2 linked regions of the Diceros bicornis minor genome follow. The protein of the gene in region 1 interacts with the protein of each later gene in a pairwise test. Links are inferred from orthologs where the notes say so. Each region holds a gene or a part of one and is shown on either strand. Other genes may lie near its edges.

Evidence for each region. The genes of interacting proteins can lie anywhere in the genome.
Region 2: the proteins of LMNA (region 1) and ZSCAN12 interact in binary tests that used the Homo sapiens proteins (3 or more experiments, as listed by UniProt). The link is inferred for Diceros bicornis minor from reciprocal best matches to the Homo sapiens genes LMNA and ZSCAN12.

The regions. Positions count from the first base shown.
Region 1 is NC_080743.1:59,724,829-59,732,491, forward strand, and holds the start of LMNA (lamin), read left to right. Parts: upstream 1-4,653; 5' UTR 4,654-4,879; intron 4,880-7,663. Other genes in the region: RNA-binding protein MEX3A, read right to left, coding at 3,257-3,710.
Region 2 is NC_080753.1:38,485,213-38,493,188, forward strand, and holds the start of ZSCAN12 (zinc finger and SCAN domain-containing protein 12), read left to right. Parts: upstream 1-4,957; 5' UTR 4,958-5,099; intron 5,100-5,965; 5' UTR 5,966-6,034; coding exon 6,035-6,457; intron 6,458-7,976. UniProt on the Homo sapiens protein: May be involved in transcriptional regulation.

The DNA.
Region 1 (7,663 bases):
CTTCCAAATCACTTAATCACCCCTGCCAATCTGTCACTGACCATGATCTTCCCACAGAACCCCAAGGCACTCAGTGACTCCACAATCCACTCCTCACTTGACCTCCATTCACTACAAGTGTCCTCCAATCTACTCAGGGACCCCTGACCCCCATCTGCTCTGTGATCCACGCCCCCGTGCCTTCCGCCCATTAGTGTCTCTCAGTGGGTCCCAAATTCATAGCAAGTTTGCAGCAACTAGTGGAGGTGGGAGACTGGGAAGGGTCTGAGAATCAGAGTTTCAAGGGAGAAAGGAGGAGTATGAAGTTAAAGATAATGACTTGTGAGGGACAGCACCAGACCTTATGGACACTCCTGCCACCCTGTCCCCCTGGGGGCAGGAGAGCTGACATGGGCTGGGGCTGAGCAGGGCTGAGGGGGAAGGTATTCTGGACCTATACTCCTGCTTTGAAGTAGGAGTGGGTTAAAGCTGGGAGGTTGGGGAGAGAGGCAGGAAGAGAAAGAAGAAAGCCGAGACAAAGAGAAACAAAGAGAGAGAAGGGGAAAGAGAAGAGTGAGGGAGGCTGGGATGGCCATACCATCACTAAAGGTTGCAGACCTCAATGGCTGACTGGACAAGCCTCTCTCCTCTTTTCCCACATTCCCTCTCCCTGCCCCGAGCTTCACAGAGCCTCAGAGACTCACACGCTTTCTCAAAGCACACATGCCACATGTGTGTGTGTGTGTGCGCGCGCGCACACGGACCTAAGAGCTGTGAGGCACTGTGTGCCTTTACCTAAACAATACTTGTGGTGCAAGCCTAATACACACTTTCACACACCCCTTTCACACACACATACACAAACACACACGGATTCCCCGCGTTTCAACCTTTCACACTTCCCACTCTTCCATCCCCATCATCCCCAGCACACAAACAGCACATTCCTATACACGCCCACTACTTTTGCCCCCATTCACAACCAGACACGTTCACACCTCTCTCCAGGTACATACTCACCATTCCCCTTCTCACTCCCCCACCACACTACCTATCCCCCCCCAAAACCAACGCCAGTAGTCCTAGTTTTCTGACTCTGCCCCAACCCTCCAACCACAGGCCTGAGGTGAGCTCATTTTTTCCCTCTCCTTCCTCCACTCCAGATGGCTTCCTCTCCAACTCTACCAGATTTGCAGGTGGGAGGATAGAGTAGGTTGAGGGCAGCTCTCCTCACCTTCAAGAGACCTCAGGAAAGAGAATTTGCTCCCCCCTTTTTGTCTTCAGACCTCTTGGCAGTTGAGAAGTCCTACCTGTTGTCAAACCCACATCCCTGCTGCTTTACTGTCAGTAAATGATTGTTCCATTTGTGAGGCATGGAGGGTTGAGGAACAGTGAAGTCCTCTTGCCTACAACTTCTGCTCACATGGCATCTGATAGGCACCTGGGTTCTGGCACTAAGTTTTGGGTCCATAAATTTAAGTGAGAGCTAGGTGTCTTTGGGGGTTGGGGCTGGGGTGAGGAGGACAGCTCAGGCATAAGAGGAAGGAGAAAAGCTAGAGGCCCGGAGGTGCAGAACTGATGGTGGACCTCAGCCTGGGTTTCAAAACTCTGAAGAAGCATCTTTTGAAGGGAAGACTCACTGGGCTTCACCTTCCTGGAGGTCAAATAGAGGAGCACTGACACTGCAGCAGGAGGAGGGAGGTTAGACAAGAGGGAGTACTTCCATAGACTTAAGGAATGAGGGGGCGGTTTATCTTCTCTGAATAGGAGAAATCCCCCTACTTTTATGAGAGACAGGCCCATCTGATGCGGAGGCAGAAGAGGAAAGAATGACTCCATGAAATTCTGGGGCCTCCCAAGATCACCACCACATCCAAGAAAAGATATCAGTGTCCCCACCCAATTCCAGGGCTCTGGGTCCCTAGTTTCTGGCAACAAGAGGAAATCCAACTTTTTAAACCAGAAATCTCAAGAGATGGAGTGCCCCAGGGGGATGAGGGCTGTGCAGGGGAGTGGCATCTTCCCCTCCTCCATTCCGGATCTCCCTGCAAAATCCCCCCAACCCCCAGCACTCCGGGTAGATGAGGTGGGATGTGGAGTAAGGGGCCCCCTGGCTCGCCTCCCCTCTTCCCCTGCCAGCAGCCGGCCTCCTCCCTCACTCACAGCCGGAATGCAGCTCCTCTATTGTTCCCCACGGTGGGACAGCTCCTCCCCTGCTCCTCCCCCACCCAACACCTCCCCAGCCCAGCCCCCTTGCAATTGCCAAATCCCACCCCCCACACACTCCCCTTTGGGAAACCAGGAGAGGGAAGGGTCCCCAAGACCCCCTCTGCTCAGTCTGGACCCTCACCAACACTCCCACCCCCACTAGCCCAGAGATGCTGGAACGGAGGAGGGTGTGGTATCAGACATACTACACTGGATTAATTCTACACCCCCTCACCCAACAACACACCCAGACAGACACACACCCTCCACCAAACCTCCAGGGAAAGGTTTCTTACCCCCCAGCATGACCCCCCCCCACTCTGTCCTACTCTCTCAGGACCAGAGACCCCCTCTCCAGGCCTCTGGCCCCTGGCCGTGGCCAGCCCAGAACAAAAGCTTGAGAGGGAGGAGGAGAGGTCCACGCCAGGACGTGGCACTTCGTTGGAGGCACCCCTTCCAAAACCTCACAGACCGTTCAACTTTGGTGTGTGGGTGACCACAGGACTCCCTCCTCCCAGCAGCCCCCTCCCCACCTCTCCCCCTGGCTGGGACCCTCCCATGAGCCACACCCCCTTCCATTCCTACACTTAGCCCAACAAAGAGACAGATAATCTGGCTTCCCGGGCCAGGTCTCCCTCCAAGTCTGTAACTCCAGGTGGCTGAAGGTCCCAGGGGTGCCCCCTCCCCAACCCACTCTCAGATATCAGAGTAGGGGCTTCTGAGTAACTCTCTGCACATTCCACCAGTTTTTCCGGCTGGGAGTGGACACCCCCTCCGGACAGCCTCCCTGGATTGGGAGACCGATTCCCCCTCCCTTTTCCCTCTCTCTATGAGAGGATATTTCTTTGTCTAAGGGCAGAGCCCTGGGGGAGGAAAGATCTGGAGGACAGTCCCGACTGGGGGTAGCAGGGAACTTTGTGGCACTTGGAAATCAGGGTAGGGGGCGGGTCCCCCTTTGTGGGGAAGGGACCGAGCCAGAGGCAGGCAAGGAGAGAGGAAATGAACTTTCTGCGCTAGGATGGGGTGCCCCCCACTCCAGTCCCTCTCCGCGGTCCGGGCGCCCGCTTACCTTGCCTGCCCACGATCTCGGCCACGTGCTCGGAGGTGGGCACGGGTACACACTCGGTGGTGTTGCTGCTGCCCTTTAGGCGCAGCTCGGCCTCTTTGTAGAGAGCGCAGAGCTTGGCATCGCTGGTCCCTTTGGGGGCGGTGGGGGGCTGGGGCGTCTGCGCCGCGGGGGCCGCCGTCGGGGCGGCCGGGGGCGCCGCCGGCGGCGGCGGCGGGGCCGGCTGCGGGGGGGCGGCCTGCGGCGCGGGGGCGCCGCCCCCCCCACCTCCCCCGTCCTCGCCCGCCGTGGGGGCGGGGGGCTCCCCCAAACCCAGGAGGCAGAGTTGATCGAGAGCCAGCTGAAGGGCGCGCTCGTCTTCCAGCAGCCCTCGGTCCTTAGCGCTTCCCCCGAAACATCCTAGTTCTCCAAAGCCCCCATTTCTTTCCATTATTCCAGATACCACTAGACTAGGCATGGCGAAACAAAAGCTGGGGGAGAGAGAGAGAGGGAGAGAGAGAGAGGTGGTGGAAGGGAAAAGAGGAGAGAGGAGGGGAGGGGAGAGGAGAGGAGGGGGGTGTGTGGGGAGGGGGAACAAAGAACTGGGGAGGGGGGAAGAAAGCGAGATAGAAAGATAGACCCTCCCCCTAAGCCCCCCTCCCCAAACACCCTGTAACCCGACTCCCCTCGCCCCAGCCCCCAGGGTGGGGGTGGGGGGAAAGAGAAGCAAAACCCAGAAGGCAGATCTCCTCTCCTCTCCGGGGCTGACGGGGGGCGGGGGGCTGCGGGATCTCTGCCCCCACCCCTCCCGCCTCGGACCCGGGAGTCTCTAGACCCCGCCGTCCAGACGCCCCCGTTAGGCTCCCGTACCGAGCCCCAGTCCAGGAGCGGCGCTCAGTGGCCCCCAATAGAGCCCAGCCCCTTCCAGCGCTCAAACTCTTTTGTTTTAAATGAACTGGATGGAGCAGCATGGAACTGACGGGAGGGGGGCGCGCCGGGGGCGCCCGGGGCATGCCGGGAGTTGTAGTTTCCCGCTCTCGGGGGCGCAGGGACGAATTCCTTGACCCGAGGAGGATAGGGATCTGCCTTCGGTCTTTAACCACGGCTCGGAGGCAAAGCTGGGGGTGGGATGGAAGTCGAGGTCCCTAATTTTTCCAAGGCGCGGGCACGGGAGAGGAATCAGTGTACAGAAAAGGAACGGATTGAAAAAAGGCTAATGGAGCGCGCCCCTCTCCCAAGACGGGCTCTCTCCGGATCCCGGCCAGTCTTGGGTCCCTCTTTCTTATGATAATGAGGGGGGGCGAGAGGGGGGGGAGCAGTCCCGGCTGGGTCACTGCGGCTTTCTCTGTCTTTACCCTCTTCCCCCTCCCTGCTGCGCTCCCTCTCCGCTCTCCCCCTCCCGCTCTTCCAGAGTCGATCCCGGCTCGGGGCCGCGGGGAGAGGTTCTCCGCAAAGCAGACAAAGCCCGCAACCGCGATGCGGGGAGAACCCGGCTCTGCGCGCTGTGGGGACCAGAATGCGGTGCCAGGCTGGAGGGTGGGACCCCCTGGCAAAAGACGGGGTCCTCTCATCCTCAAGCGGCAAGCCATCCCCCCTCATCCCCTCCCGCCCCCCAGTCTCGGAGATCTGAGAGGCACCGACTGGGAGGTGAGTTAGTTCACGTCCTTCTGATCAGCGGAGGGGAGCTGGGAGGGCTGTGGAGTGATGAGGTGAGGAGGATGAGGGAGTGGAGGGAGAGGAGAGAAGTGGGGGGCAGAGAGCGAGGAGGCAGGGGAAGTCTTAAAGGCATGATGTGACTTAACAGTTTCGGGTGAGAGCCATAAGCTTTGAGTGCGACAGGAGGGAGGAGACACGGGATCGACTGAGGACCCAGACTTCCTTCAGGCCTGGGCCATGCATACAGCTTGGAGGTGATCTGTTCCTTAACCTCCATCATCATTCCACTTTGCCTCGCCCATGTCTCCCCCATTGGAAACCCATTAATTCAGCTTCTTTGACTCTGGAAATTGGTGAAAGTAAAAATAAGTTTTTAAGGCATGAAATGGACAGTTGGGTACTTTTAGGGGGAGTTTGGGGAAGTTGGAGTGTAATGCAATCTTTTCTTCTCCCCTTAGCCCATATCTTCAGCATTTATTTTTTGTCACCCTTTTTATGCCTGGGTCTTTCCCAAGAGGAGAAAGGATAGCACTGCAGCTTGAGGGCTTGAGATCAGACTTTAAGAAGAACTTCCCAAGAAGAGTTTTATACGAATGGGTGGGTGAGCTACAGTGGTAAGCTGTCCTTTTCTGGAGTGCCTTGGAAACCAAAAATCTGAGCTAGTTTGTGAGGTAAAGTCCTGCTTGGAGGCAGGGGAACAGATGAGATGACCTCATAGACCTGGCACTGTGAGGCCTTGAGGGCTGAACTGCGAAGCCCAGTTCCCTAAATTGATTCTTGGAAAGAAGAAATTTGCACACCAATGGGAGGGTGGGAGCCAAGGTGGAGGATCTCAGGAGGGGTTGGGGGTTGGCTCTTGCTCCTTTGCTAGGCAGAAGATCAGGGAAGGGGAGCCATGACTGAGGAACCCCAGAAGGCCCCAGAGTTGGGGAAGGGTCCCCTCTGGATCATGGATTTAACATAAGATTAACTACAAACCTTATTGTGGGATTGGGCGCTACCGCCACCAAGCAAGAGCAGGAGAGGAAGAATTGGAGAGACAAGGCCCTGTGGGAGTGGGCTGTCCCTACTCTCGTTCCCTTTCCTTCTGCCCCAGGAACCTGGATTGGGGGAACTGTGGTACTCGGGACTGTGGGGCTCTCGTTGGGGTAAGGTTCCTGCTCTGTGGACCAGGGAACTGGTTTTCACATTAATAGAAATAGCCAACAGTTGCACAGGACTGATTGTGTGCCAGGCATTTTTGTCTCCAGTTGGTCTGAGCCTTCCTGTCCCTCTAGACACCCACCCCTGAATTTGCCCTGCTTCCACTTTCCTCCCCACTAAGCTAATTAAAGCGGGAGGTTAATGACCAAAGAAGCCTTGGGGATTTGGCTGGGGAGGAAAACAAAGGACAGAAACAAGTGTGTGCGAGCGGGGAGGGGGACAGCTGCTGAGTGGGAAGGGGTAGACTGAGGGGTGGGGTGGGGAGGCTGCGGTCCCTGCTGGACCCCCCTCACTGATCCAGCAAGGACAAATCAGCCCCCTGGGTGCGTTCTTTTGCCACGTGTCCACCCTCGGTGTCCCGCTGCGACTCCAGACAGATATCCAAGGCAGGAGAGGCGAGCGGGACCTGGCACGTAGAGGGCAGGCTGTGTGTGAGCACTTAGGTCTGTGGCGTGGGCAGACACATGGGAGTGTGTGCCTGCAGATTGTGGGGGTATATCCACCACCGCCGGGACTACCAGAGCGCGAAGGTGGTGGAGGAGCCCGAGGGTGGGCACCTTGAGGAGCCGGGTTCTCAGGGGGGGTTTTGATGTGTCCTTGCCTCGCTCCCAGAGGCCAGTGGCCTCCTTTGTGGAGGTGACTTGTGTTGGCCAAGCTAGGTTTCTGTCCATGGGCCCTCCTCTTCCTCCCTCCCCCTGCCTGCTCAGTCTAGAATTAAGGCGTGAGGGCCAAACGCCTTACCTAAACAATTTTGCTTGGAAACAGACAGCTGTGCCCACTCCACCCCACCCCTCACTCTCTGCCTTATGACCACAAAGTTGTGTAGTGGCATATCTCTCCTCTTCAAGACCCTTGGAGGAGAAGACTGTGTCTCTCATCTTTGTCATTGTCCCCCACCCTGGCCTCCCAGTGCCCAGCACATGCCCCTGCCCAGAGCAGATGCTCAGTAAAGGTGTGTGGAGTGTAACTGCATGTTCGAAGCTTCAAGGTGTAAGAGGAAGGAGGAGGCCTCAGAGCCAAACATGCTGCTTCTTAGTTCTGCTCCTTGGGCAAGCATTTCCCAATGAGTCTCAGTTTCCTCATCTCTAAAATGGAAATAATAAGCCAAGTCCCTAGCGCGGTGCCTGGCTCCGCTTAGGTGTTCAGTCAGTGTTAGTTTTCCAGCTCCGGTTGTTCTCCCTTTGCAGTTGACTTTAGCTAGACTGTGGTCTTCATTAATTAATTTTCATTAATTCATTCAGCTAACCACCTCCTATTGAGTGCTTAGGATGTGCTAGGCGCTGGAGGAGATCCTGACCCACTGTGAGTCACTTGAAGTCAGTTCTAAATCTACACTTGCAGAAATAAGATCATCCAAAACAAACAGCAGATAATTCCAAAAATAATTCCTGTTGAGCACTGGAATGCAGGTGAACTCTCTCTCTCTCTCTCTCTTTCTCTCTCTCACTCTCTCTCAGACACGCGCGCGCACACACACACACCGGCCAGGCTCCTGGCCTCAGGCCTGAGGATCAGAGGACGCTGTGGAGTTTTTGAGTTGGTTGTATGTGCAGTGTGTGTCTATGTGCAAGA
Region 2 (7,976 bases), on another chromosome or scaffold:
CCCAAAACTCACACGAGGAGAAGTAGATTATCTGAATAGGCCTACATATTAAAGAAATTGAATCAATCTTTAGTAACCTTCCGAAAACCTCTGCATCAGGTGCAGATGGTTTCACTGGTGAATTCTACCAAACATTTAAGGAAGAAATGATACCAATACTCCACAATCTATTCCAGAAAATATAAGTAGTATAAACACTGGATAACTTATTCTATGAGGCCAAAATTACCCTAATAACAAAACCAGATAAAGACATTGCATAAAGGAAAATTATAGACCAGTATTTCTCTTGAACATAGATGTAAAAATCCTCCACAAAATATTACCAAATTGAATCCAATAATACATAAAAATAATTTATATATCATGACAAAGTGAGACTTATTCCAAGTATGCAAAGACGGTTCAACATTTGAAAATCAGTTAATGTAATCTGCCACGTGAAATTGCTAAAGAAGAAAAAATCATATCAATTGATGCAGAAACAGCATTTGACAATATCCAATGCCTATTTATGATTTTTAAAAAAAGCAATTAGGAATAAAGGGGAACTTCCCTCAAATTGTTAAAGAGTATCTGCAAAAAAACCCTACAGCAAACATTATACTTACTGGTGAAATATTGAATACATTCCTCCTAAAACAAGGAACATTGCAAGAATTTCCAATATCACCACTCTCATTCAAAGTAGAGCAGGAAGTTTTAGTGCAATAAGGCAAGAAAAGGAAATTAAAGTCATACAGAACAAAAAAAAAAAACAATCCCTATTTGCAGATGACATGATTATATACTTAGAGAATCCCAAGGAATCTATAAAAAACTCCTAAACCAATAAGTGAGTTCAGCAAGTTTGCAGAATACAAGATCAACATACAAAACTCAATTGTATTTCTATATACTAGCAATGAACACATGGACACTAAAATTAGTAATACAATACTATTTACAGTGACTCAAAAAAAAAAGAAAATACTTAAGTGTAAATCCAAATGCTGAAGAAAGAAAACAAAGAGGGTCTAAATAAGTGGAGAGACCGTGTTCATGGATTGGAAGACTCAATACAATAAAGATGACAATTTCCCCCAAATTAACATACAAGTTTATTGCAATTCCTAGCAAAATCTCAGCAAGACTTTTTGTAAATACAAACAAAATTATTCTAAAATTTACACAGAAAGGCAAAGCAACCAAAATAGCTAAAATGATTTGAAAAACAAAAATAAAGTGTATGGAATCAGTCTACTTGATTTAAGACTTCATATAACTAGTATAGTAATGAAGGGATGTGGTATTGGTGGAGGATAGACACATAGATCAACGGAGCAGACTGGAGAACTGAGAACTAGATCCACACAAATATGCCCAACTGATTTTTGTCAAAGGTACAAAAGCGTTCAATGGAGGATAGGTATGTTTTTCAACAAATAGTGCTGGAGCAAGTGGAAATCCATAGACTAAAAAAACACAAAAACAAAAACCTTGATCCAAGTGCCACATCTTATACAAAAATTAACTCAAAATGGATCACAGACTAAGATGTAAAACAAAACTATAAAGGTTTTAGAACAAACATAGGATTAAATATTAGGGTTTAAGAACGAGGGGTTCTTAGACTTGACACTAGAAGCACAATCCATAAAGGGAAAATTTGGTAAATTGGACTTCATCAAAATTAAAAAGTTTTGCTCAGTGAAATACCCTGTTAAGAGGATGAAGAGACAAGCTACGGAACAGGAGAAGATATTGGCAAACCATATATCAAAGGACTAGTATCTAGAATACATAAGGAGTTTTCAAACCTCAGTAGTAAAAAAGCAAACAATCCAGTTAGAACTTGGGCAAAGGACATGAAGAGACATTTACCAAAGATATATTGATGGCAAATGAACATATAAAATATAAAATGATGTTTAAAATCATTTGCCATTAGGGAAATGCAAATTAAAACCACAGTAAAATAGCACAACTATTGGAAAGGCTAAAATAAGAAAGAGTGACACCACCAAATGCTGTGAGGATGTAGAGAAATAGGAGACACTAATACATTGCTGATGGGAATGTAAAATAACACAGCCATATAGTAAGTGGTTGGTAGTTTATTTAAAAGCTAAGCATGCAACTACTACATGACCCCAGCAATTGCACTTTTAGGCATTTATCCCAGAGAAATGAAGACACACAAAAACCTGTACAGGAATGTTGAGAGCAGCTTTGTTTGTAATAGCCAAAAACTGGAAACAACCCAGTGAGAACACAATTCAGCAATGAAAAGGAATGAATCATTGATACATGGAACAATCGGAATGATTCTCCAGAGAATTATGCTGAATGGAAAAAGTCAATCTGAAAAGGTTACACATTGTATGATTCCATTTATATAACATTCTTGACATGGCAAAATTATAAAAGTAGAGAACAGAGTCCTGGTTGCCAGGAGTTAATCAGAAGATGGGGGTGAGAGGGAAGTGGCTGTGTTGATAAAAGGGATTCTGGTAGTGATGGAAATGTTCTGTATCTTGACTCTATCCATGTAAATATTCTGGTTGTAACATTGTACTATAGTTCTGCAAAATGTTACTAACCGTGGAAAGTTGGTAAGGAGTAAATAGGATCTCTCTGCATTATTTCTTACAACGCATGTGAATCTACAATTATATTAAAATAAAAATTTAATTTTAAAAAATCAAAAGAAGCATAATATTTTGTGATATGAGAAAATTACATTGAATTCAAATTTCAATGTCCATAAATCAAGTTTTATTGAAACAAACAAAAAGTTGGTCCTGAATTATGAAAACCTATCTTAAGGTCAGTTGATTAGCAACATTTATTCTATCTGCAACCTTAATTCCCCCTTGCTATGTAACAAAATATACTCACAGGTTTTGGGGATTAGGAGTATACATTTTGGGGGTATCATTGTTCTGCCTACCACAGGTAGTATACTATAAACACCTGTCAATCACTCCATAGCGGTACATCAAGATATTTCTCATTTCTTTTTATAGCTACCTAGTATTCTACTAGGTAGAAATGTCATAGTTTATTCAGTCAGTCTACTATTGATGGACATTTGGTTTGTTTCTGGTCTTTGGCTTGAATGCCTCAATGAATAACGTTGTGCATATATGTCAGTTCCTATTTTTGTCAATATATCTTTGGGGTGGATTTCTAGCAGTGATATTGCAGGGAAAAAGGGTGAACTTACATATGTAATTTTGCTATATATTATTACTTTTCCAAATAGAGGTTGTACCATTTTGTATTCCCATCAGGAATGTATGAGAGTGCATCTTTTCTCATGAATAGAGTATATTGTCAAACTTCTGGATTTTTCTGCCAATACAATAAAATGACTAATGGCACCTCAGTGTAGTTTTTAATTTGTATTTCTATATTTTGAGTGAATTTGAGCATATTTATAGATGTTTGAAGGCTGCTACAATTTCTTATTCTGCCAACTGTTCATTTCTTTTGTCCATTTTCTCCATTGGGTTATTCTCTTTTTAGGAAATATTTTAGTAGCTCATTATATATTAGGGATATTAGCCGTTTGTGATACATTGCAAACATTTTTCCTGTCATTTGTCTTTGACTTCTTTATGATGTTTTTTGACAAGCATTACATTTATTTTTATTTAGTTAGATTTATCAATATTTTTTGTTGCTTTTGAATTTTGAATCATGGTTAGATAAGATTACCCTGTTTCTAGGTGTTAGAATTATTATGTTTCTTCTAATACATGTCTGAGCATATTTTTTACATTTGTGTAAAAACGTAAAATAAATTCCACATTTGGAATCTACCCCGGTTGTGATGTGTGGTGGGAGATATTAATCTAATTTTACCTTTGACTAAATGTCTATTAGTTGTCCCAATACAACTTATTTGTATGTCCTTCATTTCCCCATTTGATGTGAGATCCCATCATCACCATATACTAAATATCCATATGTACCTGGCTTTATTTTGGGTCTATTCTCTCTGTCTGTTCATGCACCATATCCCGCTCTAAACTGTAGAGGCTTTATAATATGTTCTAACATCTGATAAGGTTGTCCCTCCCCTTTGTTCTTTTTCAAGGGGTTTCACGGCTATTCTTATTTTCCCAAACTTTATAAATTAATTTGTCTAATTCTACAACAGAATGTGTTGATACTTTTATTATAGATTGACCTCTTTATTGAGTCTTTTTAGCCAAGAACAGCATATGGCTTTCTATTTGTTTAAGTTTACACTTGGCACTTCCAGAGTTTTTTAAAAAAGTTTTCCCCATATAGGTTTTGCACATTTCTGATTAAGTTTGTTCCTAGTAATTTTGGTTGTTGCTATTATAAATACAGTCTTCCATTATATCTTGTAACTGTTTATCACTGGTCATTTGCATATATGAAGATAATTGATTTTAGTATGTTAATTTTATATCTTGCTGCTTTACTAAATGATCTTTTTTATGTAGTTTTCCCATTGAACTCCGTGGGTTTTCGGATATATAATCATATCAACGCATAAAAGAGAACATGAGGAGAATCATTGAAGGTGAAACAGCAGGCAGAAACCACCAGGTTGCCCCTTGATTAGCGTGTGTAGAAAATCTTGGTCCCTTCATCATCGTGAAGCCTTGCTGAGTCGGGAAGGACTTGGGGAGAACATCCCTTTGAGGCACCTTGAACCTCAAAGGTGCAGAAACCCAAATAAAAATGAGAGTGAAGCAGCATGGGATTTGCCTATTTCAGATCGACTTGCAAGTCTCGACCACCCTTCGGGTCAGGGGAAGCGGGGATAACAACCAGGCACACAGGAGGAGAAACAGAAGACACTTCCGTGTAACCGCAGGCCTTAGAATCCTCAGCCGTCCTCTCGCGAGGGCGGGGCGGGGGTGGGGGGACGACGACCGAGTGGAGAGCCCCTCCCTCCTCCTTCTTAGAGCAGCGGCGGAAGTGCACTACGCGCCGACCCGGCTAGCCGGCCCTTCGTGCTTGGGCGCCGTTGCGGCCTTTGTGGGTCGCTCTTCTTGGGTTCTGGCTTCCGAAGGGGTTCGAGGCCTCGGCCCGTAGTCCCGGGAGGAGGGACTCCTCTGCTGGCTCCGGGGCTGCTGGTGAGCGAGCCTGTGCTCGGCCGCGGCGGGGCGTGGGGGGCGGGATATCACGGCGTTCTTGCGCCTGGGCCCCTCCGGCCGGCCCAGGCTGGAGCGGGGCGCCCTCCGGTTCTCGCCGGCCCGGGCGGGTCCGCGACAAGCTCCCGAACACAGAGGCCATCCCTCCTCCCTCGGAGGGTGGGTCGGAAACCCGGGGCTGAGGGGCCCGCCCTCGGTCTCTGCGGAGTCCGGCTGCGCCTCGGGCCGTGTACCCTTCTCAGTTCGGCGCCTCCCGACATTTCTGGACCTTCCTGGGTCTCAGACGCCGACCGGCGGCCTAGGGCCCCTTTCCTGGGCTTGCCTTACTTCAGATTTAGAATCATAGAATGTGAGGGTAGAGGAGGGCCTTAAAGATCACCATCTCCAGCCTTTTCGCTTTATAAATGAAGAATGAGGAGCGGAGAGATTCAGTTCCCGAGGGAGTAAATTCATGTGACTTTGCTGTTTCATGACATCATGGTTTTCACCAGACATCTGGGCATTTAAAAAATAAAAACAGCTAATCAAGGATGTCTCAACTTTTTATTATCATTGTTTATTTGCTCTGAATGTTGGTTTTATTCCATTTAATTGTCCTTTTTCTAGAACTAAAGGGAAATGTTCCTACCAAGTCTTACTCTTTCTTCTTCAAGTCCTGAAACAACTTAACACCTTTTACCTAATCTTTCTCTTTAAATTAGTCTATTAAATCTTTTTTATCAAAGTATTTCCCTGAGTATAGTAAATTAACCTGGAGGCGGGTTTCAAAGCACGTATTTAAATTCTTAGAATTGGCAATTTTTGACTATGGTGTAATTTGTGTTAACAATGATGGCTTCTTCCTCAAGTCCACCCAGGAAGAAACTTACCACTGGAGATCTTGCTTGAAGCACTGATACAGCTTTTGCAAAGCTGTGATGGCATCTACTTGGGCTCTCCAGGCCGGCAAGGACCAGGATGAACTTTTGGAAGTAAAGATAGAGGAGGAGGAGCAGAGGGAGGAGGAATATAAGGATACCACCAGACAGGATCAGAACCTGCAAAAGAACAACATGCATAGCAGAGAGGTCTTCCGACAGTACTTCAGGCAATTCTGCTACCAGGAAACATCTGGACCCCGTGAGGCTTTGAGTCGACTGCGGGAACTTTGCCGTCAGTGGCTGAGGCCGGAGACCCACACCAAAGAGCAGATCCTGGAGCTCCTGGTGCTGGAACAATTCTTGACCATCCTGCCCGAGGAGCTCCAAGCCTGGGTGCAGGAACAGCATCCAGAGAGTGGGGAAGAGGTGGTGACTGTGCTGGAGGATTTAGAGAGAGAGTTGGATGAGCCAGGATATCAGGTGAGGAAACAGATGTGGTTTCTGTTTGAGAAAAGATGAATTATGGATTTCTAGGCCAGAGTGAAGTACAGTAAAGTGTGGTCTTGACACTTTGGTGCATCAGAAAGGGGCCTGAGTGTCATGAAAAACTGGTTAATGTAGTCCTAACTTAATTATACCTTTTCTGTGGAAGGATCATGTATTTCTGTACTAAGCTACAAAATTCTCTGATAAAATGCTGCTCAGAAACATTAGAAACAGAAGATTTAGAAACAGAAGTCTTCTAGGACAGAGAGAAAATGTTAGAGAGATGACAGCAGCCTCTTGAAAGGGGCATCACTTCTGTTGCTCAATACAAATAATTAAGAAATAAGGTTTTGCAGATATATCCACTGCCCTGTCTCCATTAAAGGAATAAAAGGTGGAGAAGTTAATCACCATCTCAGAGGAATGAGATATGGGAGCAGAGTAGAAAGTTAGGAGGGAGGGGCAGGTTGGAGGATCCATGTTTGTTTGAGTGGTAGAAAGCCTAGTTAGGTTGGAAAGGTGAGTTGTGAGAAGAGTTGAAAACAGACAGTCCAGGACCTTGAATATCAGCCCCTGGAGTTTAGATTTTATTCTGTAGGACAGAGACTCCTAACCTTTTCTCTTTGAGTCTAAATGAGCTTTATTAAACCCAAGATATGAAAGAGAACCAAATTATGTAGGACCTTTTTGTTTTGTTTTAACATTGATAAAAGGCAGTGGTTCTCAGCCAGTGGCAATTTTGTGCCCCAGAGGGCATTTGGCAGTATCTTGGGACATTTTTGGTTGTCATAATGGGGGCATACAGTTGCTAAAGGGCAGGGATGCTGCTAAACATCTTACAATGCATAGGACAGCCTTTTTTTTTTTTTGAAATAATTATTTATTTATTTTTCCCCCAAAGCCCCAGTAGATAGTTGCACAACCTTCTAGTTGCTGTATGTGGGACGCGGCCTCAGCATGGCTGGAGAAGCAGTGCGTCGGTGTGCGCCTGGGATCCGAACCCGGGCCGCCAGCAGCGGAGCGCGCGCACTTAACCGCTAAGCAACGGGGCTGGCCCAGGACAGCCTTATACAAAGGAGAATTATCTGACCCAACTTGTCAATAGACCCAAGGCTAGGAACCCTTGGTATAAAGAGTATGAAACAGTGAGATAATAAAACAAAAAGTGTAATCTAACGTTGGGGTACAAAATAGACTGGAGAGGGAAGGAGTATGTGGCAAAAAGATCTAAGTTTGAAATAGAGTTATGAAAGTGTGGTTACAAAAGATGAGGCATGTCTTAGGTAAGAATTAACTGGAAATGATGACAACTTAGATGTATGAAGAAGGAAGAATGAACGGAAAACTCTTTACTAAGCAATCTCTTCTAGGCTGTGCACTAAGGATTTCAAGCTTGAAAGACTAGCGTAATGAAGACACTCCTAACAGAGTTCAAGACTGTAGAAGAAGTGGATTGGGGGAGAGTTCATTCGTTCAGATATTTATTGAATATCTGTTTTGTACCAGGCATGAT